Linked DNA regions of Arabidopsis thaliana. The protein of the gene in region 3 purifies or fractionates together with the protein of the main gene of each other region. This does not show direct contact. Each region holds a gene or a part of one and is shown on either strand. Other genes may lie near its edges. The genes, in order: AT1G42440, DRH1 and CDC25.

Region 1 (11,188 bases), on a different chromosome or scaffold from region 3:
AAAGGAGAAGCTTATTCTTCTACTGGACTAAAACTATCATTCACTGAAAATCAGGTGGGAGAAGTACGATGCTAAAGGGTGGACAGAGAAAGGAGCACATAAGTATGGTAGACTTAATGAGCAGTCATGGTGGGAGAAGTGGGGGGAGCATTATGATGGAAGAGGATCTGTTCTCAAATGGTTTTCTATTCTAACTACTCTCTAGTCCTCAATTTTTTCCTTACTGGTTTATATATAAGGCTCCTTGTTAGCCAGAGTTACTTGAACATTAATTTGTGAAATTCTTGAGATCAAAAAGATTGTGTTAATGATTTTGATTTAGTTGTTGGTGAACAATCCACAGGACAGACAAGTGGGCTGAGACAGAGTTGGGGACCAAATGGGGAGACAAGTGGGAAGAGAAATTTTTCAGTGGGATTGGTTCACGTCAGGGGGAGACATGGCATGTATCACCTAACAGCGACCGTCAGTTCCTTCTTCTTCTTCTTCTTCTTCTTCTTCTTCTTCTTCTTCTTCTTCTTTAAATTCCTTTGTTTGACTATGTTTGTAATCTCGCCTAACCCGATAACCTCACGTTTTCAGGTTGGTCAAGAACGTGGGGAGAGGAACACTTTGGAAACGGGTAAGGAACTTTGTTTACTTGGAAGCCTCAGATGTTTGTTTGTCTGTCTTTGCACTGCATTTAGTGTAAATGGAGGTCTAATATTAGATCGTTGATCGCAGAAAGGTTCACAAGTACGGAAAGAGTACCACAGGAGAAAGCTGGGACATAGTGGTGGATGAAGAAACATACTATGAGTAAGAGAGAAAGAGCTTACATCTTAACATATAATCTAACCTTTGTGGTTTATTAATCTATCCTTGATATCATGTTTTGGTGAAGGGCTGAGCCACATTATGGGTGGGCAGATGTGGTAGGTGATTCAACACAGTTGCTTTCGATCCAACCACGAGAGAGACCTCCGGGTGTCTACCCAAACCTCGAGTTTGGGCCATCTCCACCTCCTGAGCCTGACCTACCCCCTGACCAACCACAATGACATCACATCTGTTTGTTTAGCTTATTAGCGTAATAGCCTTTTTGCTTTATCATTTTTTCGATAAATTTAGAATGTTGTGAATTATGGGTGAGATGATATAATTCTTGATCCATTTGATCCAACGTCCATCTCTTCGAATCTCTTGCTCAAGTATTAGTCCTCTCATGTCCATATATGAGGAAAATCAGCTTTTTCAACCCCGACATACAAGCTGTGTTGAATTCATATAAGTATCTATTAAAATGTACTAAAACATATCCTCACTTTCATAAAATTCAAATTTCAAACTTGTATGATATAAAAATTCAAATTTAAATATACAAATTGTGCTAAAATATAAAAAAAAAATGTGGAAAATGCTTGACACTGTTAACTCACCGTCAATTCATGTTGACGTGGATTGTTACGTGGCCAGAGACTCCAAAACGACGTCATTCGGAGTGAAATGAGATGCCAAATTTTCCGCATAAACCATCCGATGCAAAACAAGCCTAAAAACAATCACCAAGTACCTTAAACCCAACAAAGAACCTAAAATCTAAAACAAGCCTAAAAACAATCAGCAATCTATTTATGCGGAAACGACGTCGTTTATGCGGAAAATTTGGCATCTCATTTCACTCCAAACGACGTCGTTTTGGAGTCTTTGGGCACGTCACAATCCATGTCAACATGAATTGACGGTGGGTTAACAATGTTAAGCATTTTCCACGTTTTTTATATATTTTAGTTTGTATATTTCAGGTTTGCAATTTGAATTTTATGAAAGTGAGAGTTTGTTTTAGTACATTTAATAGATACTTGTACGATACTTTTTTAGTTGACCAAAAAAAATAAAAATTAGATACTTGTATGAATTCAACACAGCTTATATGTCGGGCTATGAAAAAGACGATATTCCCATATATGAGGCAGATTAATCAAATATAGGTAGCTTATTGTGAGCAAGCAAGCAATGTCTTTAATAAGAACAAGCTCAATCTATTTAAGTATTTTTCTCATAACAATTAAGCTTATCAATGGTTCAACCCCATATTCCAAATGTATATGTATAGTGAGCAATAAAGAAGAAAATTTGCATATTTTTATCACATACAGGACAAAACTGGAGGACTTCCACTAAACCACCACCATAAATTACCAAAGAAGAATGTCGTCAATTCAGAGAAACTTGAACATCATCATCTTCATTTAAAAAATTCGAATCAGAGAAGCTGTGGGTACAGACGTTCAGGCCACTTGGGATAAGCGCGCTTGTACAAGTTCATGCACACTACGTCATGTTGTTGAACCACTCCATTGAATATGCATTTCATTGCCCCTGCACAGCTCACATGTATAAGGAAAATTCCAGAAACAAAACTCTAGCTTGGCAATCTCTTCTATTAATACTAATGCCTTACCATGTGTGCCTACTGGTTCCTTCACGCGACCACGACGCCCGCATTTTGACCATACTTCAACAGGCTGCACACACAAACATTGTGCCAGCTTTAGCTTAACATAAAAATTAATACGTATATTATTCAATCCATCGATTCTATTTTTCTCTTTTACCTTGAACCATTTCACGTCTTCGGGGTTGTGGAACATATATCTGACTGAAGCTTTCATTTTCGATACTCTCTGAGGGTACCTGAACCAAACCACATTTCAAACAGCTTAGAATTACTACAGATTATGTTTTTTATCTCCCCAGTTCAAATGTCAGAGCATTAGTATCTATCCAAACTGGAATATGTGATTGTATTTGGAATGAGGTCATTACCCAGTTAATATTATCTTCTTTAAGATTATTTTGTTGGGTTCTACGCTTTTCAAGGAACCAAGGGCAGCAATGGCAGGAGGATCCGACCCTTCAGAAATCTTCAGAACTACCAAAGGAAGGGGTGGGAAAGATATGGGGCCGTATATTGAAGCCAACGAGAAACACCCTGGATGCAGGAATCTCTCCATCTTGTGCTTGTCTGAGCTGAAATTGTCGGTCGCAAATACCGGCCTGGAAATTCCCACGACAAAAATTACAAAAGATCGCAAACAAGAAAACCTACTAAAGTAGATAAAGCAGAAAAAATTTGCTACCTTGCAATGAATTGACGGAAACCAACATGGAACATTAGCTCTTCTTTTGTTTTAATAGGAGCTTCGTAACCATCATACTTCTTTACGCTGCAAAACATAGACAAAGGTGATGAGAAGAGGGCAGAGCACTCAAGGTCTCAACAAACAGATATCTTAAGAGTGATTACCTAAAATGCAGAACCGACATCTTGGATTCATGCTGCAGAAGCCCAAATCCTATAATTGGTTTCGTTGTGTTCACAAGAGAAGATAGTTTAGAGGCAGCACCAAGAGGCACTTCTTTAATATGCAGCCGTACATATGACCCAATTGGTACACAATCATCTCTGTCTTCTTCTTCCATCTTCAGGGCTTGCTTGAGCACAAGCTTTTGAGTCCTTGCGACATTATCAAAAGCAAAAATTCTAGCATAGTCCTGAGGTAAAGACTCCTGCATTTGCCAATAAATTATAAAAAATTAGCAACACTTAACTGTGAAAAATATAATGAAATTCACATCAAGATCAGTGTTATTACATTTGGATCCCACGAGGAGGTTCTGAAGGATTTAAGACCCCTGTACTTTGCAAAACGTCTTCTTGCAGGAACATCAATGGGAGTCTCTACTTCATCTGGAAATTCTGACAAAACATAAAAGAAAATTTTAATGAGTAAAAACAGAAAAGACAAAATCAATTAGCACATGAGAGATACAGAAACTCTACAAGGACTCAAATGAATATTTGCATTTATACACACAGACACACAATGACTCATACAGAACATAACTCCACACAGAGGAAATAAACACCAACCTTCGTCATCAGCATATGCCTCTTTGATTTTCTTGATTTCATCCTTAATTTGTTCTTCTGTCAAGTCTTCATCGTCCTGAACAATGAGCAAGTTGGCTTATAACATTACCAAGATAGTCGACGAGAACAAAAAATGCAATGAAGCTACAAGTACTGTTTTGTAAGTCATAAAAGTAGGTGGACAGAAATGTATACCACCATTTCGGATTCATTCTGAGTTTCAGTATCAATATCCCGCAGGTTCAATGATTTTCCGTCATCCTCAAATTCTTGGTCATACATTCCTTCTTGATTGGAATCCTCTCCTCTATCCAATACCATACCATTATCATCAGAATCACCATTATCGGAATCCTCTTCATCTGTTTCATCCACAATCCAAGCAGCCTGTAAAACAAATCATAAAACCCAAAATAAGAGGGCCACCCGCTTATAACATTTATTTTTGAGGAAAATTGCACAAGACAGAAGAATAGTTAAAATGAGGCTAGAAACATCAGGTTAAAAATAATCCAGGAACCTGATATTCTGAAGTCCCTCGCGGCAAAGTCTTCTTCTTTAGCCTGCCCTGCTTCTGATTTTTGTCAGCCTCAGCCATTTCTTCCTCTGTTGGCCATGTCTACACAAAGGAAGAATTGCACAAGTGACTTCCCAGAACAGATAACAACACGAGCCAACTGCCACCTTCATTTTTTAGAGAACTAATCAGACTTACCTGTTCCCCTGCTAAAGGATCTGGAGTGTTTTCAATTACTAAAGGCTCTTGTTTCATGGGATCAGGAACCAGAGACTTCAATACCTGGTCAAATCAAACACAGGTACAAAAAATAAAGTGAATTTACAAAGAGAAGAAAGCTGTGAAAATAGCATTATGAAAGCAAAATAACATCCTATTTTAAGAATGAAATTAAGTGTAAAATGATATTATGACAGCATTCCAACAAACTATATAACCTCTTTTCCTATAACTATATCTGAAGGATTCAACTTAATGTATCTTTTCTAAAGTAATAGTTTGTTGATTTGTAAAGAAAATATTATATATAATATACCTCTTCATCATGTGAATCATCTAATTCCATGGAATTCTGATTTTTCCTTTCATTCAAAGGAAATGGATCCTTCAGCACTTCAATTTTGGAGAATTGAAAATCCCCAACGCCAGAAACATGGACCTAATTTGAGAAAATAAATTAACAAGGGATCCATGGGTATAGCACAAGGCATGATATAGATAGCAGAATGGCTTGATTACCAGTTGATTTACAGACAGTTTGCGAGCACGCAAGTAACCAGAGAGAAGTAGAGTGCACTTTCCTGAGCTTTCATCATCCACCAGCATCCCAGCCTAAATGCACCATTCAACATTACAGAGATATTCTACTTTCTATAAAACCCTTTTCTTCTCAGAGTCAGATTAAATGTAATGAACTTATATAAGCATAAATCACACACCTTGCGAGCCACAATGTATGATCGTTGACTTCGCCAGTGAGGCACAGTAAGCCTTTGCGCCTTGAATAACCACATAAACTGCAAACAAGCCCAGAAATGTTCTACTAATTAAGAACATTAAAACTATTGAAAACCACTCAGTAAAATAATATAAAAAATTATCAGTCATAAACATTTACCTTATGCAACTCATCTCTGGTATCTGCTGGATAAAACTTACAATCCTCAGGAAATTCAGAAGCAAGTTGAGAGGCACACATCTTTTTCATCTCATTTTTCTTTTTCACATCACTGGGCAAATCCTGCAATCATACAAAACGAACTTGTTAAGCTCAACTTCAAGCAAAATTTCAAGAAATCAGAAACCTGGTCGCTACTAATATAGAGCAGAAAGAACTTACACGGATCAACACAGTAGTGCTTGGTAGACCAATTGATCTAAACACAGAAAGACACTGACTTCCGAAAGAATCTATGAAGTTAGAGCTATTCTCTTCCCACGGAGCACTTGCAGATGCAACAAAAGCCATCAAATCAGCAACCTAATACCAGTACCAAAAAAAATCAGTAAACACCTATAACAAACTCTGCTCACTGAAAGAACCAACAAACGAATACAAGACAATTCACATACCTTGGCCATTTCCATACATGTCAGAAGATCCCCATGAGGCGCCTTTAACACCTGTAATATATATAGTCACAACATTGATCACACAAATATTCATATATCTATATAAACAAATCTTAGGAATACACATACAGTTGCTCGTAGCTTATACTCAGAAGATGCAACTGTCGAAGAAGCAATTCCAGAACCATCAGAAGATAACAACTTCAAAACATCTTCACCAAGTGAATTCAATTCCACAGAAGCAGAGAGAGGAAACAAAACCTATCATCATTAGAAAATATCATAAGTGGAACATTGCAACAAACAAACACACAAACATGTAAAAACTCACGATAACACGAGGAGCACTGTTAATTCCTCCTGATGCTCTCTTCTCCTTCAAAACTGCTGCTCTCTTCTGCTCTCTAAGCATCTTACCACGTTGAACACGAGCAGCTTTAGCTCCTTTAACATAGTTACTATCCGATTTCCCAATCCGGCCACTATCTGATTCCATTCAAACGCGATTTTCAGTATGTGGAGATTGAAAGAGATGAATTGTTGAGGATTTAGGGGGTTTACCTTGAAGGTTGGTTCTATGGAGATTACGAGAAGATTTAGAGGAGAAACGAGTCTTGTGAGCTTTGTTAACTTGAACTCGAGAGCGTCCCATGGCTTCAGCAAGAGATGGTGGCTGGATTTGGTGACTGCTTTAAAGTATAAACCCTAATTTCAATTTTGCAGTTTTATTTCCTCAAGGGTTTTGTGTAGTTTGTCTTCAGACTACTTGTTTTTGTTCGACGGCTCAAAGACAAAAGTGGAAGAAGACGAAGAATTACAAAATATGTGGGCCTAACTTCACAAATAAAAATGAAGTTTATGGGCCCATTAGCCCAATATGAATGAGTATTTGTGACTTAAAATGATATTTTGCTACACATGCTTGGGGCCTAAAACTTTACCAATAAAATGCAGTTTATGGGCCTATCAGCCCAATATAAATTACTATTTGTGCTTAAAATGATATCATTTGCATGCTTAAAGCATCATTATTGGTAAGTTCTTAGATTAGTTCTTGGGATTTTTTTTTGTCTTTTATATAAATGTCATTTTGTCTCTTATATAAGAGTTAAAATGAGATGTTCTTATCATAAGAACTAATTTAAGAACTTACCAATAAGGATGTTCTTAGGGCCTTAATTATTAATATTCCTTTTTTCGGCAATATAACGTTTTGTCTTTTTTCAACTTTTACCTAATTTTAAAGAGTTTTTTTTTGTTTTTTTTTGTTTTTTTTTGGTTTTTTTAAGGTTTTTTAATTTAACCTTAAAAGTCATTTTCGTATACAAAGACAAAGAAAAACAGAAATTTTAGTGGAAAAACAAATGATATGATGAATGAAAAATTTGAAAGTTTACAAAGTTTTTTTTTGTTTTTTGTTTTTTTGAGGTTTTTGTTTTAACTTTAAAAGTCATTTTCTATACCAAAAAATAAAAACAAAATTTTAATAGAAAATAAATGATTTGAATGAATGAAAATTTTGAAAAATTACAAAAATTAGGACTAAAATTAGGTTGGAAAGGTAAAAAAGGAAAAAAATTTATAAATTCATATTATTATATCAAATTTGGCTCACAATCGTGACACGTGTTATCAATCAATTGATATGTGTCACATACAAAAACAACAACAACGGGATTGAATGTGATGTCAAAAGCGCAGAATTAAGTTTTAGGGCTAACTCTAAAACGAATCTCTTTTAATGAGTCCCCCCATCGCATATATTAGAGCTAGCTTTTCTCTTTTTATATTTTGTAAGTTAAATTCCCAACAATTGACATGTACCCGTACACTAAACTGTCTGTCCATCACATTAACTTTCACGAATTTATTATTGTAAAGATGGGAATTGACATGTAGCATTTTTTCTCCTTCTTAATTATGAGAAATCGGAACCAGATGCTCTTTTAGTTGTTTAGTTTTGGTAAAACGGTGGCGTGGTGTTGGAATGATAAAGATCAGATGAGTATGAGTGATCATGATTACTTTGAGTGGGTCGTGAAAAGCTTGATGATTTATTAATATATATAGATATTTGTGTGTTATTTGTTTTACAAAAAGAGGTTTATACTGTTGTTTTAGCATATGTTAGTACAAGTTTTTAAAGCCAATACCTTTTTCTTAATTTATAATGTGTGCCATTCTAAAAGGAGTCACATATAATATTTGAGACTGAAGAAAAAAAAGTTCTAGATCCAAAAACAATAAACTGATATATGTATATTCATCTTTCTATAAAACATTGTGCAATCACTACAAAAAAGGGTCATTTTATATCATTTATTTTGAATATTTGTATTACTTATAATTGATGTAAAAGAATTTTACATCACTTAAATAAATGACTTATATATTGTTGATGCAAATAATTGACATCAGTTAATTAATGACCGATGTTAAGATATAAAATATTTACATCAATTATTCTAACTGATATGAATATGTGTCAATTGAAAAAAATAATGTTAAATTTTACATCTATTTATTTAAGTGATGTTAGTATTAGTGTCAATTAAGAGAATTGATTTCAATTATTTACATCACTTAATAGTAATTGATGTTAATATTTGTGTTAAATATTTTTCAATAAACGATGGTTAAAAGAAACTACAAAATTTATAACAGAATTATTATCTTAAATATTTTTGTTTCGTTTTTAAATAATTTTATATAGGAAAATCGTTTTCAATATCTACTAAATCTTTTCTATTTTTTTTTTACAAATAATTATACCAGAACGTCAATTACAAAAGACAAAAACATAAATTTAACGCAGTTAATAAATTCATTAGAGATTTTACACATACAAAAAAAAAAAAGAAAGTGATATGAACTTAATTAGTTCAAGATCTAGGTATGATTTCTTCAAGAACACACATCTTGTTTCTTGTCCAAGCTTTTTCTTTTCCATTGTTTTGGTGACATTGTTTCTTCACTGTGGAGATTTTCTGAGTATGAAAACCAATAAATAGAAAATCAGAGTCATGGGTGAGAAAATGAGAAATACAAAATAATAAAAATAAGAACAGAAAAACAATTCTTCGTCGTCTTGGAAAGGTTTAGAAGATGAACATATAAGGATCAATATGATTTTGTGTTGGAGAAGTACACGTATAACTCATATTCATCGGAGTTGTATGGTTGGCATCCTTTTAAGAATTATGTGAAAATTGATGTTTCTGGAGAATTTTTAAGGAAGAGTTTTATGGAACTTCTGATTTTATATACAATAATTTTGGGAATACTACAAGTTTTATTTGAGTAGATACGGAGAGATCGTGGGTTGGTTGGGGTAGTGAAAATGAATTTTCGATTTTTAACAAAACAGTTTTTTATACATAATCGAAAAAACAATTAAAATGAGAATTTAGAGAATAAGAAAAGAGAAAACAGATTTTTAGCAATTTAAAATATAGAACACAATCTTGATTCCAAAACAATATATCTACGTTTGTGAATATAATAAACAAACAGAAAAAAAAATTATGGATGAGATTTGTGATATATTGGTTTTTTTTTAACGTATATTGTTTTAGAAAAAAAATATTTGTGCAACTTTCAAAACATGCTAATTTTAAAATACAACAGTTTTAAAAACAATTCACATAGATTAAGATAAAATTTGGAAAAAAAGATTAAGATCAGTTAAGATTGAGTGACATAAAATGGACTACGTGTTTTTTTATTTTGATTATATGTAAGTTAATTAGCATCATTTTATTATTGATACTAATTTTGCATCATTTATTTAATTGATATTTTAATTTGTATCGTTTTATAAGTGATGCTAATAATAAATTAATAAATACAACGATTATCTATTGATGTAAATATATAGGTTTGTATCAACATCTTAAAATGATCCAAATCAAAATCAATATATATATTTCTATCAATTTATCAAATTGATGCTAAACTATTTAATTAAAACATCAGCTATTATAACTGATTCTAAATCATCAATATTTGTCTCATTTATGCATAAGTGATTTAAAATAATATCACTTAATTTTATGATACAATTTAAGTTCTTAGCATCACTTTCTATTGATCTATATTTTGTATCATTTTTAAAAATGATGTTAATAAAAATAAGGGAATACATCGGTTATCTTAATTGATGTAAATACATATTTTTGTATCCATTTTCTGAAGTGATGCAAACTAATACAAATTTGTATCAATTTGATTAAATTGACACTAAACAAACTAATTAACAAATCACTTATTAGAATTGATGTTGAATTATTTATTTGTGTCATTTGCTTATAAGTAATTTAAACTAGTATCATTTATACTTCTGATTCTAGTTAATTGATGTAATCCATCACTTTTTTGTAGTGAATATTATTTTGTTAACCCTACACTTAGTGTACTAGAACTGTAAAAAATATATATCCATGTTAAAAGTAAAAAGTAGAAAACAAAAGTTTAGATAAAATATTATTATAAGAAAAAGAAAAAATAAAAAAAAAATTCGCATGTTCATTCTTCTATATTGTGCCGATACATGTATATGATCCACAGTATATTGATGATCGATATTGGGTATGTCTAACAAATAAGGTCAAAGTAAATTAGTTAACCTCAACTAAAATTGGTTTAAACCAAGTGCTAATTTAAAATTTTCTTGAAAGTTATGGTTTTCAGTTTTCCTAACTATACTATTTATCTTTGATGTTAAGATTGTATTTTTTCAAAAATATGTATACCATAATAGAGATCCAAAATATTGACTATTAGGTAGATTACAAAAATATGAGAAATATTTTTTCAAAATGACTTTGCGTCGCAAAATTTAGTAACTAAAAATTACATGAGAGACAATTTGTATTCGTCACCGATTGCACGGTGAAAAGAGAATGCAAAAGGAATTGAACTCTTTTGTTAATGTTTCTTCGATCTATTGAGGCTGTCGTGAAGTGGGGATTTCGGGTTCACCATATCTAATGCTCTGGCTACCTTGCAATCGATCATCAGTAGGGTCTGATCCATTTTTTTGTCGATAGTAATCTTTTTCTATTGGATTTTTGTAACTTGAATAAAACTTGTAAGAGTATCTCCGACCTCATTGTATTTCTTCCTCTAAAACTCTATTATAGAGTATATTTTCTTCAACCCCACTCTATATGATATGTTATTCT
Region 2 (10,833 bases), on a different chromosome or scaffold from region 3:
GTTGCGAGGCCTGGATTAAGACAGGTGATCCCAAGGATGTCATATGCCAAGAAGTGAAGCGAGTTCGACCAGATTTTCTGGTCGTGGGAAGTCGTGGACTTGGCCGGTTTCAAAAGTGCGTATAATACTCAAACACATTCATGACTTATTAGTCATTACTTTACCCCTATATATCATCAACTAGTTATTAGACTGAATGATGAATAGCAATCAGACTTTAACTGCTATAAAGGATTACAGATAGGTAGGATTCTTGATCTTGACACAAGTTTGAGTTAAATAGATTTAGTTCAAGACGGGGCAGGAACAGAGCCAAACAAAGGAATTGTCATTCTAAGTTATACAAACATTGAGCCAGGCATAACTTGAAACTATAGAGTCTAAGTTACTACTATTGCTGTTGTTTTGAATCGTGATGGGTTTTGTTATAACATGGGTTTGCTTTGCAGGGTCTTTGTGGGGACTGTGAGTGCGTTCTGTGTGAAACATGCGGAGTGTCCAGTTATGACGATCAAACGCAATGCCGATGAAACTCCCAGTGATCCAGCTGATGACTAAACAATAACAACGTCCCTTCCTTCTTTGATCTATACAGAGAGAGAGTGCTTTTGTGTGTACAAAATCCAAATTCCTACCCCTATATGTATTTGTATCTGTGTATGTATGTGTGTGTGCAGCTTGTTCCGTTTTCTGAATTGGTTTTCAAACTGAACCAAACTGCTATATATTTGGTTTCTTTGAAAGAGTCCAAACATCAAAAACAACAACAATTTGAAAGAAAAAAAAAGAGTACAGTAGTATATATGCTTTAACGACCAGAAGTTACTCAAACACCACCTCCATATGTATTGAAGATTTAATGATTTAATGCACTTTTCGTATGTAAATTAAATGCAACGACATTTCAGCAATAGAAAAACCAAATAACGTACCATACAAAAAAACCCAGCTGGGGCATATAAATGTATAGGAGGTCTATATATATATCTTAAATCACATGGTGGTCACCATTAAGCAAGTGGACGGGCCACAGATCTTCAACGTTCCAGTAATTCTCGTTTGACTGTTGTTCCACCACATTAAACGTCGTCGTCTTCGCCTGAGAGAAGCTCTCAGCCGTGTCTATGGCTTTGCCGGAGCTGCCTTGCGTCGTCATCCCCGAGCTCTGTGAGTTTCCCGAACAATGATGTTGATGATTCATCATATTTTCCGATGACACTTTCATGTGTCTCTGAATCTTTGTCCTCCAGAAGTTCTTTATCTCGTTGTCCGTTCTTCCCGGAAGATGCTTCGCAATCTTCGACCACCTAATGCATATTATAATATTACTTAGCAACATAAAATTAGGTTTAAGATTTGATTTACGTATGCATGTACTAATTAGTGAAACTATATAAGACCTGTTTCCAAGCTTAGCATGAAGCTGAATGATCAAAAGCTGTTCTTCTTCGGTTATGTTCCCTCGCCGCACATCTGGTCGGAGATAGTTCAGCCACCGGAGCCGACAACTTTTTCCAGTACGTTTTAGACCTTATTAACAAAATAAAAACAAAATTTAGTTATATACATAGAAAACATCATCAAAACATGATTTGAATACGTGCAAAAAAGCATACCAGAGGCTTTGGCGACAGAGTTCCAAAGACCTTCACCATGATTAAGGATGTAATTAAAGAGGATGAAATCTTCTTCCATAGTCCAAGGTCCTTTTCTCACTGTTCCTTCTTCTTCTTTCTGTGACGTTATTGTCGCTTTCACTCTCCCTTTCTTCTTCATCGTCGTCTCCATCTTTCTTTCTGTTGTGTATGTGTGTATTTTTGTCTATGCAATCAATAAAGAAAACAGAGAAGAGAGAGAGAGAGAGAGATACTCGAGGCGGGAAGATGATCGACGAATGTTTTCTTTTATAGGGTTGAGACTTGCGACTATATAGTCCTCCAATTGGTAATAATACACATAACCTTAAAAATTAATAAGTAACAGAAACTATCAATAACTTTACACTCGTTTTTCTTTTTTTATGAAAACATATGCATTAATATGCAAAATCAATGAAAATATGAAGTATTTGATTACAAAACTTAATCATATATATAACTCTAAAGTTGCCAAGAAAAACTAAACATCAAATTAATAATTAAACGAGAGAACTTGGCGTGATTAGTTCACGACCACACGAATTGTAAACAGTGAGAAGGAAGAAAGTACAATCTTAAATCAAAGCAAAGCTTGACAGAAACATTACACTGAGTTTATGTATATAACGACTTCTTCCTAACCCTCTATCACTAATATATACTAACCATTATTTATTTAGAACTCACAATCAATGAAGTTCTTTCTTCTCTAAATTTTGAAACTTATATTGATATTTTTATATTCTTGCTATATTTTACCACATCTAAACTACAGTCTGAAATATGTGTTTTATTTTTTTCAACGTTATCTTTTTTTGTTTGTGTGTGTTAACGAGTTTACATTTTATACAAAGAAAATATAAGTAGTATAGATAGAGAAAATGAAATGAAAGTTGTAATAGCGTTTGCTTTTGGGCAATTAATTGAGAAGGTTTGGTGTAATTCATATGCCAAATTTAGTAAGTGAGGTTTTGTGGCTGGAAATCTAAATGATGTGTCAGCTTACAATTCAATTAAATTATTGTAAGAGAGTATAAAAATTGGGTTATTAATATTCTTTTTCAAGAATAATTTAACCAACTACTTATCGTATATTTTGAGTTTGATGATTTAACCAACACATACACTAACTGAAGTTTAAAACTAAATAATAGTTGGTTTACTATAATTCGTAAAAAAAAACCTTGAACTGTCATTCTATGTATAATGATTTTATAATGTTAGTTTGTACTTTGGTTGATGATGATTTATTAAGGATAAACTCCTAAAAGAGTAATCTCCTAACAATCAATGAAAGATTAATATTGATAGTGAAGATAAGCCATGTGTGAACATGTAGTGTGAGCTTTGATTTTAGATTGTAGGAGTTCATGATTCGTTTAGTTGTAAAAGGAAAATTAATTTGTAACCACAAAAAACAAGAGTCTATTTGGAGATTAATAGGCTGTCCTCAATTATATTATCATCAAAGTACACAAGACATACACTTTCATCTAAGCCATAGACTCACCAAACTTCTTTTTCTAATGTTCATTTTTATTTCTTAATTTTTATAATATGACACTTTTGAAAATGAAATACACATAAATAATCCAAGTTTTTTTTTTTTTTTTAATGCTTTTAGATAGTTGTGATTTTGTTCAGCTCGTATTTGGATTAAGATATTACTTGGGTTTTTAATTTGATTATTTCGATTGGGTAGAATCAGTTTATCAAATCGAACTACACTAAACCAAATCTAACAATACTAAACCGAAATCATAATATTACCACTTTGATTTGTAATTTAAATGCTAGAGAATCCCACAGTATTAGAAGAAAGTCGTTCGTATCTAATGAAACATTCTTACCAATCTCTGAGCTGCAATAATAAATAAGATGAAATACAAACTGTAAGATATCAATTGTAGTTTTGAGCGTAAATTTCCAATGGGAGGGAACAGTCTTCTTGGTCTTGTTTTTTTTTCTTTTGTTTCTTCATCGGCCAAAAAATATATAATGTCACAATGATAAGGGAAATCCCCCACAACACAATCTTCTGTCACTTGGCTTTATCAGAGCTTTGTATCTCTCTTTTCATCTGTGTTTCATCATCATCGTCTCGTGGAAGCTGCGAGGAGGAGATCCGGTGGAAGACGGTGGTGGAGCTCTGTTGAATCTCTCAGGGCTACGGCTCCTTTCTCGCTCTCTTCCCCATCCATTGCTGCTTCTACTTTACATCAAAAATTTATACAATCTCAAACTCACAATCATATTTTCAGTGGCATACAGAGATAAATTTACGAAGATGAGGTCCTATGTTAATTTTACCTGTCACGGGAAGCAAAGCTACCTCTGCCACCATAACCAGAGTCGCCACCACGACCACGGCCGCCGGAAGGAGGTCCCCAACGACTGAATTTGTTCATTCCCCCACCACCACGTGTAGCCATTTCGCGGATCTGAGGAGGAACTCGCTGGTTTGCTCCTTCCAAAATCTTGATCAGATCCGAAGCATGTTTCGAATCTTGATCACCAAAGAATGTGAATGCCTGACCAGTCGCTCCAGCTCTTCCTGTTCTTCCGATTCTATGAACATAGTCTTCCACTCCATTGGGGAAATCATAGTTTACGACCGCCCTGTGATCTCAAATCGTATTAGCTAATATAATCATCAAGTCACATAATTTAATCATTTGTTTTACAGGACTGGGAGGATTTGGATTATATAAATACCTGATGTCCTTAACGTCCAGACCACGAGCAGCAACATCGGTTGCTACAAGAACCGGAGTTCTGCCACTGCGGAATTGATTAAGAACATTGTCTCTCTCAGGCTGGGACTTGTCTCCATGTATAGCAGCAGCTCCAAATTGGCGGGTTAGATTGCGTGTTAGTTGATCACACATCCTTTTGGTTGAGCAGAATATTATCACCTTTGAGCCTGGTTCCTGAGACCGCAAGATCTGCTCTAACCTCCTCTGTTTCTCCATTGGTGCTACCACTTCAATATGCTGTTTCCAAAAAAGCACAACAATCAGATTCTCCTGAAACAGTCAGCAGAACCAATAGAATCAGTTCAAGCAATACCTGTGTGATTGACTTGTTAGCCACAAGCTCGTCAACATTGCCAATGTTGACTTGAGCAGGGTTAACAAGCAAGTCAGCTGCAATTTTCCTAACTCCCTTTGGCCATGTAGCTGTGTACATAAGGGTTTGACGCTTAGTGGGAATTTCTTTCACAATCTTCCTTATCTGAGGTTCAAAACCCATGTCCAACATTCTATCTGCCTCATCTAGCACAAGATAAGATATCTGACGCAGACTAATCCTCCTCATTTCAAGGATATCATTCAATCTCCCAGGAGTTGCAACCACGATATCTGCTCCTCTTTCTAAATCCCTCAACTGAGGGCCCTTTGGTGCACCACCATACAAACACTGAAACAGAGATAATAAGACCACACATTTGGCATACGTTAGACATATACTTCACAAGTAGCATGTTGAAACTTTACAAGTTCAGAGACTTCTACATACCGTACACGAAATTCTTGATGACCTCCCAAATTTAACAGCTTCTTCTTGGATTTGTGTGGCCAGCTCTCTCGTTGGAGACAATACCAAGATTGTTGGGCCCATTCGCGAATCATTTCGGATACGTTGAAGATGCAAAAATCCAGGAATCAAGTAACCCAAAGTTTTTCCCGAGCCAGTTTTAGCAATGGCTACTATGTCCCTACCTTGCATAGCAATGGGCCATGACTGAGCTTGAATTGGAGTTGGAGCAGAGAAACCTGCACTGAGTACCTAAGAAAACAGAAAACCACACTGTCCTATGAGAAGGGGAACACCAAGGTTCTTTTGGGCTTATGGAATGGTGGCTCATGTCAGAAGAAGCACCATCCCCCATTTGCAGGTGGCAAAAGGTTACTGATGAAACCTGCAGCAGGAGGACGCCTCTTCTTCTGTCTGGACCCGGTGGTGAAATGAATCATCACACCATTAACAGGCCCTGCCACAAGCTTGGATGATTTGGGAAGCCCTTTCCAAAAAATTTGGTCCACCATATAGGGCACTCCAAATAATTTGCAAGGACCTCAAAGAAGTGGCACAGTGTACGACATTGGCTCCTCCCAGGAGCAAACATCGCACCTGGGAAAAAAAGAGAAAAGGGTGCGTATGGCATAAAACTTTGACTCTAAATGTTATACCTAAGTCGATTTTAGCTAAGTGACAGAAAAGTCTGAGACTGGAAAAACAAAGCTATGTTAATAAATCAGACTTTAGCAAAAACACTCAATACAGATTCCGCTTATTGGTAGAACAATTATAAGGTTATAGATTCCGCTTATTGGTAGAACAATTATCAGGTTTGAGGGGTTCCTAAGTCATTTCAGTTTACTATTAACCAATCATACCTCCCGCAGAAGCTCAGGTGGAAAACCAGTAGCTTCAAAGGACATTAGAGGTGGTGGTACTTGGCCCCCCTGAAGAAATGGGAAAGAAATATCAGTAAACTTCAGTAATCTAAGAAAATAAAAAAGCTCAAATAAAACAACGATAAAAGAGAGGAACATAGGGGTCTACCATAAAAACGAGGGTGATTGTTACAGGAAGGTCTTAGATACTTACACTGACAGTAATTTCATGACGGCGGGAATAGGCCTCAGGGGATAGTTCACTTGCTGGAGCTGATGAAGGAAGAGGAACTCTGGTAGATGCTGCACCATAAGCAGAATCCCCAACTCCATTAGCAGCACCGTTCGAATAAGGCGGTCCACTCCTGCCACCCTATAGCAAATTGAGAAAAAGTAAACAGATGAACAGAGAAATAATGTATAAAATATCGTTAACAGCAACCAGATGTAGTACCTCAGAAAACCTGGACACACGTTCAGAGCCTCTGGAGTACTTATCGTCATCCTTGGGAGGAGCATAGGCATCAGTTTGTTGAACCTGAACGGAAGAGCTAACAGAAACGGCGGGAGAAAACTTAGGAGGTAGAGAGGGGGTTGGTTTCTCGTACTGAGTAACATTGGTCTCAGGATTCCAAAAGTACAAGTAACCAGTTCTATCATCGATAAGGCCTTTCCAGGGCTTGGGAAGAGTATGATCCTCAGGTGCGTAACGGACAACAGAAGCAGCAGCGGTAGCAGCCATAGCAAAGACTTCTGCAACATGTCAAAGCGATTCAGTAAACCAAATCGGTAATCCACAGAAATCATCACCAAACTCGACTTAGGTTTCAATTAATTCAACCATAAATGAGAAAAGCATCCAACTGCAATCGAGTCACAGATCTGGATTCAAATCGAACAATAAAAAAAAAAACTAACACGTAATAAAAGGATTCGATCAGAAATCAGAATTAAACACGACCAAACCGACGCAATCTTAGAGAGAAACTAGAAATTGAAACAGAGAGCTTAAATACCAAATTCTAGGAATCTAAGTCAGGATTGAGGAATTTTGTCAACAGATAAACGCGTACCTGATTTGATATTCAAGAGTCGAGTTTGAATGTGGAAAACGAACCAGCAGATTGGATTAAAGACTCGGGTCAAATCTGTGAACTCGAGCTTTTGAGATTCCCTTTTTTGGTTTCCCTCTCTATAACAATCTACGCCACAAGAAGAAGCGTAGAAGCAAGAGAGAGAAAGTTAGACCAAAAGCAAGGATGTCCAACTTTAGACCGTCTCTGTTAGTTAGGTTTATAAAACCATCCATCGTCGCAACAAAAATATCTGCACCTTAATGAGCCGCCTCCTTCTTTTGGGCCCTTTTGGGCCACTCCAATTTTATTCCTAGGCCCATTATATAATTTCCATGTAAAGAATAGAATTATTTAATGAGATTAGTTGAATTTAACAAAAGTTAATAGTGTCATGTAAAAACGACATGGATGAACAAAAATATCAACATTTTTCGCATAAATAATAAACTAAGAGCTTCTATATACAAAATTCAAGACATTTTTGGATTTGGTTTGACTTGGACTCGTTTGGCTCTGCTGTACAAATATACTCCAGCTAGTGCAGTCGCGGTACCTGTTTATTTAACAAGTGATTATATATTGCTTCAATAAAATGAACAAGTGTAACAAATCCTTTACTAATATATACTACTAGTAGTTGTTTACCTATAGAGTTAAGAGGTGAGACTGGAGTTTTGAAGAAAAGAATGGATGATGTAATAACCACCACACGCTTCACGCAGTTCCCTACAGAGTGTGTTACTGGAGACACCATCTCCAATATCATATACGATACCTACAACAACAACCCCAATTTTTATGTGTTGATTAGAAGCCTAACACTAACCGACTTTACAAAATTCAGTACAGTTTTTCTGAAACGGAGGAACTAGACGGACCAACCTGTTGGTAGCTATGCAAGCAAACACCAGCAAGTAGAGACATGATGCAAAACTCTTTTACCGACAAACCCTGGCTTGTCTGTCAAGCAACCACATACAAACACACATTAGTTCTTTCTCTTTTAGATCATCTAGCTATATCGGTTTATGCTTTTCCACTTACTGCTACTTGTAAATGCGAAGGAGTAACCTTGAACCCATCGATGAGGATTGCTAAAGGAACCAGTAAGATAAAGGAGATAATGGTTATTATAGAGAAAAGGTTGATGTTGTCCAAAGCGTCCTGTTTCAATATACAAACATTAATAGATTTCGATTACTAGTTTCTTTCTTGAGATCATAAGGATAACTTATATTCAAACTCTTTTACCTTTCCAACCATGAATTTTTTACTGAGGACATTGCGTGATTGATTCGTCACATTAGAAGCCATTGCACTGCAGAAACCAATCCTGGTTTATCCCAATACCATGAATTAATCAAATCAATTAAAACTTCATCAAAAGTTTATCAAGAATACTATTTTTTTTGTTCTTGTTCTTGTTGTTCATACCAATTGAAAGAAGCTTCTGTGAAAGATGCTAAAGAGACTCCAGCGACAATAGGTAACAACGAACAAACAATCCACAGACTCGGCCACTGGACATTAATCAAAATTTCAAAGATTATGTCTGAAAATATAACTCTCTTGTATAATCTAAGGTTATAGATTAAGTCTGAAACAGAGCGTATCTTTGTTTTGCTTACCTCACCGAGCAAGAGAACAGAAAGCAAGACGGTGAAGAAAGGCTCCATTGCTTTGATAGTGTGGGTGAAAGAGACATTTACTCTTCCTAAGCTCACATTTGTTAACAAGTTCCCTAACGTGTGAGCTACTGCTAGTTGTACGATCACCGTAAACTGGAGAGGATTACAATTGAATGAATCTCTCTGTTTTTAGGGTTTGACGGAATCAATATTTGATTTACCTGAGAAGGAGAAAATTTGGGGCGTGGATGGAGTTTAAGGAGCCACATTATAGCAATCATCAACGTTCCACACCCTAATTGAAATGCTGTTACAGTCGCTGGATATGGATAAACCCTAAGTACCTGGATCGATGAATGAACAAGTTTCATACTTGTATGAAGACTGATAATAGGTTCGAGTACTGCTTCTTGCATTGAAATGGACTGTTTAATTAAATGAAGCAAAGAAGGAACCTGTTTGTTGAAAATGTTGTAGTAGATATTGAGAAGGTACCAAACTCCAAACATGCCTCCTAGCTTCAACCCTTTAACCAAACTTCCAGATTCCAAATCTCCTCCTTCCACATTCTCCGGAACTGTAGCTGACTTGAGCTTGAAGCCATTAAATCTAAGGTTCGGTCTCCAAGGATAAGAGTTAGAAGATGAAAAAGCTCTGCTTCTTCTGCTCAACGCTGATTCAGGAGTAGACTTGGCAAGGAACAATGGAGATGGAAGTCTTGGATTTGGATTTAGAAATGTGAGAGCGAACATAATTTTTTCCTCTTATCAGATGCTCCAAGATGTGCATAAATCCTCCGGCATTTGTTGGAATTTCTCACAAGTAACCGACTCTTGCTAACTTTTTCTTCTTCCTCTATTGGTAAGAGTTATGTTACATGAGTCTACCTCCTCATTTTCATGTAAGAAGAAAAAAGTTTGTTTTGTTTTTGGATATACTGCAAACTTGATATTAGTATTATTTAGAAGAGTTGTCTTTATTATGTGACTTTTCTCTCGTTCTACTATCTGAATGTTTTTGAGTATGATAAAAATAACTCACATGCCGATGCCGACATTTTTTTCAATATAACATTGGCTCGATTTTATTTATCTTTCCTCATAAGAGCCAGTGGTATTTGCCGGTATTGTTTCTTCTCATGTTCTCCATTCCATGTGTGTTCTGTAAATAATGTTATGGAAATGATTTGACATACTTGGTCACTCATTTCTTTACAAAGGGGCCGTGGTTTTCTTCGTTTATAATAATATCAAAAAGTTGGTAACGCTATAAATAATTATTTAAAATAAAGTTTACGTACGAACATGACAAATTACTGACCACAACACCAATTGATTTTTAGTGTGGAATTTGAAAATGTCAGGGGAGAATTGTATGGATGATATGAAAGGGGCCGCGTTGAAACATGTGGATGTTGTATTGTATGCTCCTGAGTCCACCCTTTTCTTTCCGTGTTATTTCATACTATTACAAATAAGGTTGGTCCCATTGCTTTGATCACATTATTGATTATACCATTTACTTATTATGTCAGTGTTGGTACAGGTCATTGATCACAATTTGGGCTTTAAACGGAGAGGATGGAAACTGAATTCTAAATACATTTCGGCCCATTTAGGGTCCATAACCTTCTACGCCAATCAGAAGGTACGTCGACATGAGCAACTTGGTCAATTTTATGACATAAATAAAATAAAAATAAAAAAATAAAAATCGATCTGAGGGGTTTTAGAAAGAAAAGAAGAAATTCGGGAGTCGGAGAAATTGTCGGGTGGATCGATGAATACTTGTCAGTTTATGGATAAGCAGATAATGGATCTATCTTCTTCTTCATCTCTACCTTCCACTGATTTCATCGATCTGATGAACAATCATGACGGCGATGATCACCAGAAGAAGCAGGTGATCGGCGATAATGGATTGGACTCTAAGAAAGAAGTGATCGTTCCTAGCTATGATTTCCATCCCATACGTCCCACCACCGCCGCACGATTGTCTCACTCGGCTTTAGATCTCGCCGGATCCACGACTAGGGTTAATTGGTCCGCCTCTGATTATAAACCCGTTTCCACTACTTCGCCTAACACTGTAC
Region 3 (8,039 bases):
AAAATATAAAATTAAAGGTAACGATATTAAATTTCTTCTGTTATTCAAAATCTCTCTCTTTATTGTCTTTTCAAATCAGAACCAAAGACACGAAGATATTTATTAAAGTGTTTTTAAAAATTATTTTGATTTTTGGTAAAACATTTTTATGATTTTATCCTAAACGCTAGCGTAAGTGTGATGGCTTAGTGCACGTGGCTTGTGAGTGAAGTGCTCGCAACTTTAACAATTTGGTCCATTCATATATGAATAATAATGACTATAATTATGCAAAACGAGATGCTTACTTCGTTTTTTTTTTTAATTATAAAACATTACGTTATGCTTAAAAAATAAAATTAAAAGACATGAATTTCAACTCTCCATTTAAGATTTAACATGACAATACAAAATAATGACAAGTGGTCATCACTAGATTTTGAATGTTTGATGATGAAATCAAATATCGAGTAGTCGCAATAGACAAAATCTTTAAAAATTTCTTGTTCCAAACTCTTCACTATGGATAATAACAACCTTTGAAGAAAACGAAGGGATATTATAGCAACTAACAAGAAGACAATGATTTTGGCTTTGCTTGAAAAAGTTTAGGTGGTTAAATCTAAATTTAAGTGTTTCTAAAACTAAACTTACCATAAAACTAATAATGCAACTTAGACTTTACGAGACAACATATAACGCATTAAGCTCAAGAACTAGCAGAGAGTGATCCGAGTTTTACTGAGAAATTCGAAATCTCCCACATGCAAAAAGATTCTAGACAAAAAGAGAGAGAGAGAGAGAAGTAAACATATAAGAAAATTATCTGTTACGTAGCATTTTCAACGTACATCATTCATTATCAGTATCACATCAGGTAATTTCAACTTCCAGCTTCTTCTCTTATCCAAAACATATCCACAAATACAAAAGGTTTTATTGAAGAAAAGACTCGGCCTCAATCCTGCTTAATACCACCCGTCTCCTCTACAACGCCAGGTTTAGCTATTGTTTCTGTACCTTCAGTTCCAGTTTCCGCACCCACCTAAAACAGACAAAGTGTTACACATAAGGCTCAAAAGACAAAAACTCAGAAATCAGATAAACAGTGAATGTCAGTTCTCGGAAGCTACTGGGATCATGGCATATTGTTGAATTGAAGTATAAACATATAACACCAATTGGAGGATAGAATCTATGTTTCCATCAACTAAACTGCTTCAACTAAGAAACGACTCAACCAAGAATAAAAAATGAGTAAAGTCCTTTCACTTACTTTGGTGGCGTTGTCGTTTTTAGCAACTGGCTTGAAAGGACAAGCTGGAGGAACTCTCGCTGGCTTCCTGTACTCCCATCCGAGCCACGCGTACAATTTAGCCTAGTTTATTTTTTAGCATGAACAGACAGTACTTGAGTTAACAAATGTTCACAAGTAAATACTACCTGCAAGATTCACTAAAGCACTGTTTTTTTTTTCACTTAAAAAAGATACAGTCTAAAGAAATCGATATGAAACACCAACAGAACTAAGATCTAAACATTGCTAACATGTTCAACTTTCCAAGAGCCAACCTCAAGCAAATAACAAAAGCTATATAGCTCTTCGTTTTTCACTTTTACAAGCAAAGATTATGATCATGTGCTCTCTCGCTTATCCTGATTATCATCTTCACTATCTTCTTCCCTTTCTAATCTCTAATTTTGTTATTTCTTTCAAATAAAGATATCTCCTTTGAGACTAAACGAATTCCACACTCTTTAGAACCCTAAAATTCGAAATTTGGATCCTGACATTTAATTTCCCATGAAATCTGATCATTCTTCCCATCAAAATTCCAAGGAAAAATCAAAACTTCAAGGAATATTAAGAAAGCACGAGTCAATTACCATGAAATAATCGATGATTCGAGGCATTAAATTGATGAGCGGGACGAGGAACAGAGGCACCAAACACATAACGCAAACCTACAAAATTCAGGAATTTCTTCAAACAATCTGAAATGGAAGCCGCAAGATAGACAAACGGAAGCTAGATCCATAAAAAAAAAAACAAGCGATATCGAACAAATCTTACCATGTTGAAATTAGGGTTCTTGACTCAGGGAATTGGGAATTTCGACCAAAAGATGAAAATTGGAGAGAGATCACAAATTATGATTGTAGTTCTCTGAAGTCGTCGTTGCTTTTGCTTTATGACTTTAAAAATCTACAAAAGAAAGCAAACACTCTGTATCAGCGAGAGAGTTTTGACGGCGTTAATAAAGTAACGTGCCTCTTCCAGAGAAGATACCGAAAAATCCATTATTATTTTGACGGCGTTAAGATATCAACGTGGCTTTGACGCTCCACAAACGTGCAATACCATAAAAGCCCTTTTAGTATTGTTGTTGCAAGTTTGGTGTTTGTGCTCCATGTAAACCAAACATACTGATAAGAGATTATTTATGATAATCTTCATTCAACTTTAGTACATGACAATGTGGAACATCAATTAGGTCCCAATATGGTTTAGTAGGGTTTAGGCGCAATCGCCCTTGCAAGGAACCTCTGCACAGCGGCAGACCGGTTTTCCAGAAGCTTCCCAACCGTTAAAGCCGCGTTCCAAGATCATGATGTTTTTGATTCCAGTATCTTCTTTCTTCTCATCAAGATAATTCACGAGCCTTCTCGCACAAGTAGGGCCACGAACCTGCAGGAAGAATTGGTTTCAAGGCTTTAGCAATCACTTCATGTTGAGTGCAACGAAGTACTGATTTATGTTAGGAACAAAGAAATGAGAACTGCCTCAAATCAAAGGTTGCTAAAAGACTGAGCTTGATGATTTGGGGAGCTAAGCTAATCGTTGTTCTTTGTTCTTTCTTTTAAGAATATAAAATAAGTTCCTACTCCATGACATACATAAGAATATATGGACTAGTAGGCAAACTTATCGGAAAACACTTGGATTTTGCGACCTCGAATCCACTTTTTGACACATGAAGGACCTATTGTAGACCATAAGAGATATAAATCTTCTAAGAAAACCCAATTGATGCCACTTATCTAACCTATGAAACATGAATCAACTATGTATAACATAGAGATGTACATCTCCTTCTACGAATAGCCAATTGATGCCGCTTATCTAACCTATGTGTTGTTTCTCAAAAAAGAGGAAAAGAAGATCTTATGGGGAAGTGAAAAGAGTGTAAAACACACACCTGGCTCAAGGCACAATGGAAGACAAGTGTGTCTTTGTCCTTGACATTTTGAACAAGATGTGAGATCTTGTCATCAAACGAGCCACTCGCATAGTGTAGCGATCCAGCTATATGCCCGTCATAATTCCTCTCTTCATCCCTTAAAAACATACAATTCCTCCAATGTGAGCTATACAATAGGTTCATAAAAAGTCTAAATTTGTTTAAGCCATAACTATGTATCAGAAGAACCTATATAAGTATTACAAAAAGTCTGTTTCTTTCTCAGCCCATCTAACCACAAAACCTTTGTTCCAAGCTCATGAGGTCCCTAATAGTTGTTTTTCGACAGAGATTCTACAAAATATCCAGTTTTAGAAAACATGTTCATAATTAATTGATCCCCAGAGTTCAAAAGTAAAGTAATCTCTTAAAACGCATATCAGTATTACATAGTAGAGCAAAATCAAACCTAAGAACAATAATCGGGATTGATTCGAACTAAAATTTGGTAAAGGATCAGATTAGTGACTAAAATCGACGGAAATAAATCGATTATGTTATACCTGACATCGATGATGGCGATGTTGGGACGACGATGAAGAGGGAGAAGCTGAGTAGAGGTGATGTAAGAGATGCTTCTCGCCATCGCCATTTTTTTCTTCTTAGTGAAAAAGGAAAATATGCTTCTCCCCATATCTCTCCAAACACCTTTTCTTCCCTAAAAGTCACGAACATTTCATTGAAGACTGCGACCAATTTGACGTGACGCTTACGTTTAGAGATTATTAAAGTTTAAATATTAAATGATAACAACAAGCGGGGATAGCTCAGTTGGGAGAGCGTCAGACTGAAGATCTGAAGGTCGCGTGTTCGATCCACGCTCACCGCATTGTTATAATATTTTATCTTTTAACTATTTTTTTTTACTTTTAAATATTATTTTTATTAATTCCGGGAGTCTCTCTTATTCGATACCTCTGCGACTCTGCCGAGACGTTTTGGCCTTCTTCTCTTCCGAAATCTGATACAGTAACAGAAACGAACCTAATGCCGCCTCGCCGGAGTTACCCCTTCAGTGGTCACGGAGGTACAATTGCACGATTCATTGAATTTGGGGAAGCATTTGGACACTATGGAGAAGAAGAAGACGAAGAAGAGGAAGACGAAGAGGAAGCATATGTCGACTATGGTGAAGTACAAGAGGAAGACGAGGAGGAAGAGGAGGAAGAAGATTCCGAACGCCAAACCAGGGAATACATCGATGTCCTAGACTCACCTGTTAGGGTTTCACAGAACGAGAGTGAAGGGATAGAGAATCAGAATAGGTCACAAGGTGTTTGTTCATCGTCTTCCGGATCGCAGGAGGATGTCGAATGGAAACAAGGTGACACTGAGGGATTGTCTTGTTCTATCTGTATGGAAGTTTGGACCAGCGGTGGCCAACACCAAGTCTGGTATTCTCGATTCCAGTAATTTAGCTTTGGAATTCGTTGGCTCTTTAGAGGCTATAGTGTATAGATTATGTTTTGTTTTAGCAATTTGATAATCTCATGATCTAGGTCTATCAATTTTGATGAATTATGACAGTAATTTGCTACTGGCAATTATATAGTTCTTAGTTGATTAGGTTTTTGTCATACAAAACTTTCGAACTGGATTGTGATTAGTATCTCTTTTAACTATTTGATTACTCTGGTCACGTCTAATATTTTGAGTGCAACTAATGTTCTCTTTTCTTTTTTAATCTGGTGTGATGGTACAAGTTGTCTTCCCTGTGGACACTTGTATGGATATTCCTGCATCAACAAGTGGTTTCAGCAGCGACGAAGTGGAGGGAAGGTTTGTGGTTGTTATGAAGTTGTTCAAATCCCTTTGCTGTTAGTGGATATAGTTATCTTGCTCATCGAATCACATTGGCTTCTTTTGTAGTGTCCCCTGTGCAACAAAATATGTAGCTTGAGAGATGTCCGGAAAATCTATGCATCACGGGTTGCTGCAGTAGATGATGAAGCACACAAGGTCTTACAATGAGTGTTGTTTTTCCGAAATACATTCGTAAAAGCAAATCATAGTATCAAAATCTGATATTCTTTTGTTGATATTTGCAGAGAATCTTATTTCTGGAGGCCAAGTTAAGGTCAATTGAACAGAAGGTAGGATAAATTTACTGCTCAGATAGTTCATGATATTGCTAGTATTAGTCCGCATTATTTTGGGCTTCGTTATTTGAAATGCTTTCAAATCATTCGCAATAAGATTTTCCTCAGTACTAAAACCTCTTTATGTGTTCATTATATAAGTCGTCTATGTAGGTTATGTCTGTGTTAGATGACAGGAACATATGTGTGTAGCCCGTCGTACTAGTATTGTAGCTTTTAATATGTTCTTATTTGTCATGCAGACTGCGAGTTGGAGTAACAAAGAAGTTCAATGGAAAATAACTGAAGCTGAGCTACGATTAGAAGTTACTAAGCTGAAGAAGGTACACTCTAAGAGTTTGTTGTAACGTGGTCACTCTTGTCACTTTGTTTTGTGCTTGGACAGATTAAGATTACTAGTAACTAGTCGAGTCTGGAATATTAAGTTGGTTCGTTACTCTTAAAAGGGAGCTCAGTTTGACTAAGAGTTCCCATTATAATTTCCCTCCCAACCTAAGATTATATTTATTTTTGTTTTTTTTTCTCATAAAATTGTCGCACATGTTTCTCTAGTTAGCGTCATGGCTAGAATTTTTGTTTTTGCAGAAAATAGCTAATATGGAAAGTACGACTAAGGGTTCGCAAAGCCAGTCTAATGTGGCTTCTCAGGAGAAATATATACCTGGTAATCACACAATAACATGCCCCTTTTTTTTGTTTTCTTCCTCTTGAAATTCTCTGCGTCTAAATAGTTGTAAGTGCACGCCTGCAGCTCATAATATCTACCAAGAGCATCATGGACAGTCACCTTCTTGCAGCTTCAGACATCAGGTGTGGCTTAGTGCTCCTTCAGACACATTGTTTTGGTTTAGTTGAAGTATTGTTTGTTTTGCAATTGTGTTGATGTGTATTATGCAAATTATAAAGTTCGTTACCATCCATTTTTCGTAGGGAGATCTGCTAATAAACGGTGGCCGTATATTTGACATAGATGGTGGTAGACAAATATTATTATATGCCCGTAGGCTCTCAGGCGTTGGTGGAACGTTTGTGCTTACGCAAGTAAGCTTTTTTGTTTTGCCTCTCATTTTTCTTTTTTATCTTATACCAGTAAAATGATGCACTATACGACCTTTTTTTTTAATATATTGCAGATGAGCCTACATTCGCCTTGTGAGATTGATGATATTTTGTTGCCTCGTACCACTAGAGCAATTAAAGATCTTCACCTTTCCCCTCACAATAATGGGCTTGCAGTATTTGGGTCTCTAGGAAAAAAATTATCTGTTATAAGCTTGGAGAGCCACAATACTGTCTTATCTTATGATCTACCGGCTGCACCTTGGTCTTGCTCGTGGGATCTCAAAAGCTCTCACCATATTTATGCTGGACTACAAAATGGAATGGTTTTGATATTTGACATGCGTCAAACCACGGGACCTTTCGCATCGATGACAGGCTTAACAACCAATCCAGTTCATACTGTCCATCATCTCTCTGGCAATTCCACTCCAACTTCTGATGTCCGTACCCTCTTATCTGCTTCTTCCATCGGGCTGTGTCAGTGGAACATTAGTGGTAGCGAGGGAAGGTAGAGGTCACACATCACAGAAGTTGAAGAATTTTATCATTGCATTTTTGAGGCTCTAACATGTTATAATTTCGGTTTTTTTTTCCTTTGTCTAGCCCATCATTAGTTTCGGAAACGGGAAACCCAGGTGTATGCATATCCTCCTCGTACTGTCCCCGCAGCAATCATATAGTAGCTTCTTATAGACCAAGAGTTGGATCATCTGATGATACAGTCCCGACTCAGCCCTCATTGACTCAAACAGGAGTCAGTAATAGTAATAGTAATGGTGTAGATGGATTTCATGTTTGTCACAAGAGAAGAGGTGTTGATTCGTATTACCAGAAACTATCCTCCACACAAGCTATTGTAGATCCCATCCGTTTGCCAAGAACAGCGATTATAGACTTTGGTGGGGAAAGGAAACAACTTTTTGCATCTTGTGACGAGTCCACTCGGGAGCTCATCTTGCAAGATCCTTCGACTTTTACTATTTCTCAACGGTTGCCATTGTCAAGTCATCTTCCGCTTCAAGATGTGAAATACTGTCACGTCAATGGTTCGGATCTGCTCGGTCTCTTAACGGATGATAGATTGCAGATTCTTAGGAACGAATCTCCATGAAGATTAAAAAAGATTGATAGTCTTGCAAGGATGGTGTTTGTTGAAGAGAAAACATGTATGTAAAGCGGCTAACTAGTCTATCTATCTTTTGTAATCTGGAGATGCTATAGAGTAGCGAGCCATTACTTAAATATTATTATCTTAGTTATGAACCTATTGCTGCAATGCAGCCTGCTCCTTTTTTGTATATACGTATTACTTAAATCAGTTTTTTTTTCTTTATCACTGGTGGATTAAGTAAATCTGTAAATGAGAATGAAAAAGCATGGAAAAAGAGACGTATTTATATGACGCACAAAAAAATTGACAGAATTTTCCAAATAGATGAAAAAAATCCGACCTGCCGGAATCGAACCAGCGACCTAAAGATTACAGCTACTACTACAGTCTTCCGCTCTACCAACTGAGCTAAGGTCGGTTTTGTTAAGCTACTGATAATAGTTTATTATATACGTTAATAACTTGTTGGAGAATCTAATCAAGTCCTGATTATAAGAAGGATAAAGAAAAGGGAATTAGAAAAGAAGACATTGATTCCGATTGGAT

The links.
Region 1: the proteins of CDC25 (region 3) and AT1G42440 purify together in Arabidopsis thaliana (affinity purification with mass spectrometry, with the first as the bait; one large-scale study listed by BioGRID). This does not show direct contact.
Region 2: the proteins of CDC25 (region 3) and DRH1 purify together in Arabidopsis thaliana (affinity purification with mass spectrometry, with the first as the bait; one large-scale study listed by BioGRID). This does not show direct contact.

Annotation. Positions count from the first base shown.
Region 1 is NC_003070.9:15,893,283-15,904,470, forward strand, and holds AT1G42440 (pre-rRNA-processing TSR1-like protein), read right to left. Parts: upstream 6,824-11,188; 5' UTR 6,658-6,823; coding exon 6,567-6,657; intron 6,492-6,566; coding exon 6,337-6,491; intron 6,267-6,336; coding exon 6,135-6,266; intron 6,057-6,134; coding exon 6,006-6,056; intron 5,914-6,005; coding exon 5,773-5,913; intron 5,674-5,772; coding exon 5,551-5,673; intron 5,450-5,550; coding exon 5,372-5,449; intron 5,265-5,371; coding exon 5,172-5,264; intron 5,092-5,171; coding exon 4,969-5,091; intron 4,716-4,968; coding exon 4,632-4,715; intron 4,536-4,631; coding exon 4,437-4,535; intron 4,304-4,436; coding exon 4,112-4,303; intron 3,993-4,111; coding exon 3,917-3,992; intron 3,743-3,916; coding exon 3,639-3,742; intron 3,553-3,638; coding exon 3,290-3,552; intron 3,210-3,289; coding exon 3,123-3,209; intron 3,040-3,122; coding exon 2,809-3,039; intron 2,677-2,808; coding exon 2,598-2,676; intron 2,508-2,597; coding exon 2,444-2,507; intron 2,362-2,443; and 3 more. Other genes in the region: AT1G42430 (inactive purple acid phosphatase-like protein), read left to right, coding at 55-180, 344-465, 583-622, 724-798, 884-1,040.
Region 2 is NC_003074.8:209,364-220,196, forward strand, and holds DRH1 (DEAD box RNA helicase 1), read right to left. Parts: upstream 7,309-10,833; 5' UTR 7,111-7,308; intron 6,791-7,110; 5' UTR 6,780-6,790; coding exon 6,492-6,779; intron 6,411-6,491; coding exon 6,252-6,410; intron 6,107-6,251; coding exon 6,038-6,106; intron 5,427-6,037; coding exon 5,157-5,426; intron 5,058-5,156; coding exon 4,707-5,057; intron 4,631-4,706; coding exon 4,353-4,630; intron 4,257-4,352; coding exon 3,948-4,256; intron 3,850-3,947; coding exon 3,714-3,849; 3' UTR 3,500-3,713; exon of another isoform or gene 3,308-3,499; intron 3,161-3,307; 3' UTR 3,155-3,160; downstream 1-3,154. Other genes in the region: AT3G01520 (Adenine nucleotide alpha hydrolases-like superfamily protein), read left to right, coding at 1-115, 450-558; MYB57 (myb domain protein 57), read right to left, coding at 989-1,307, 1,401-1,530, 1,617-1,788; PPT2 (phosphoenolpyruvate (pep)/phosphate translocator 2), read right to left, coding at 7,584-7,666, 7,759-7,888, 7,996-8,073, 8,158-8,277, 8,365-8,446, 8,548-8,633, 8,742-8,894, 8,963-9,085 and 1 more; AT3G01560 (proline-rich receptor-like kinase, putative (DUF1421)), read left to right, coding at 10,521-10,829. UniProt on the Arabidopsis thaliana protein: ATP-dependent RNA helicase involved nonsense-mediated mRNA decay and ribosome biogenesis through rRNA processing.
Region 3 is NC_003076.8:858,408-866,446, reverse strand, and holds CDC25 (Rhodanese/Cell cycle control phosphatase superfamily protein), read right to left. Parts: upstream 3,892-8,039; 5' UTR 3,856-3,891; coding exon 3,725-3,855; intron 3,319-3,724; coding exon 3,180-3,318; coding exon of another isoform or gene 3,123-3,179; exon of another isoform or gene 2,878-3,122; intron 2,669-2,877; coding exon 2,498-2,668; 3' UTR 2,271-2,497; downstream 1-2,270. Other genes in the region: AT5G03460 (uncharacterized protein), read right to left, coding at 938-1,024, 1,256-1,357, 1,867-1,944, 2,054-2,056; AT5G03450 (Transducin/WD40 repeat-like superfamily protein), read left to right, coding at 4,209-4,615, 4,925-5,000, 5,091-5,180, 5,270-5,314, 5,563-5,643, 5,906-5,984, 6,072-6,130, 6,251-6,361 and 2 more. UniProt on the Arabidopsis thaliana protein: Tyrosine protein phosphatase that dephosphorylates CDK complex and activate its kinase activity in vitro. Arsenate reductase that plays a major role in the reduction of arsenate to arsenite and arsenic retention in roots.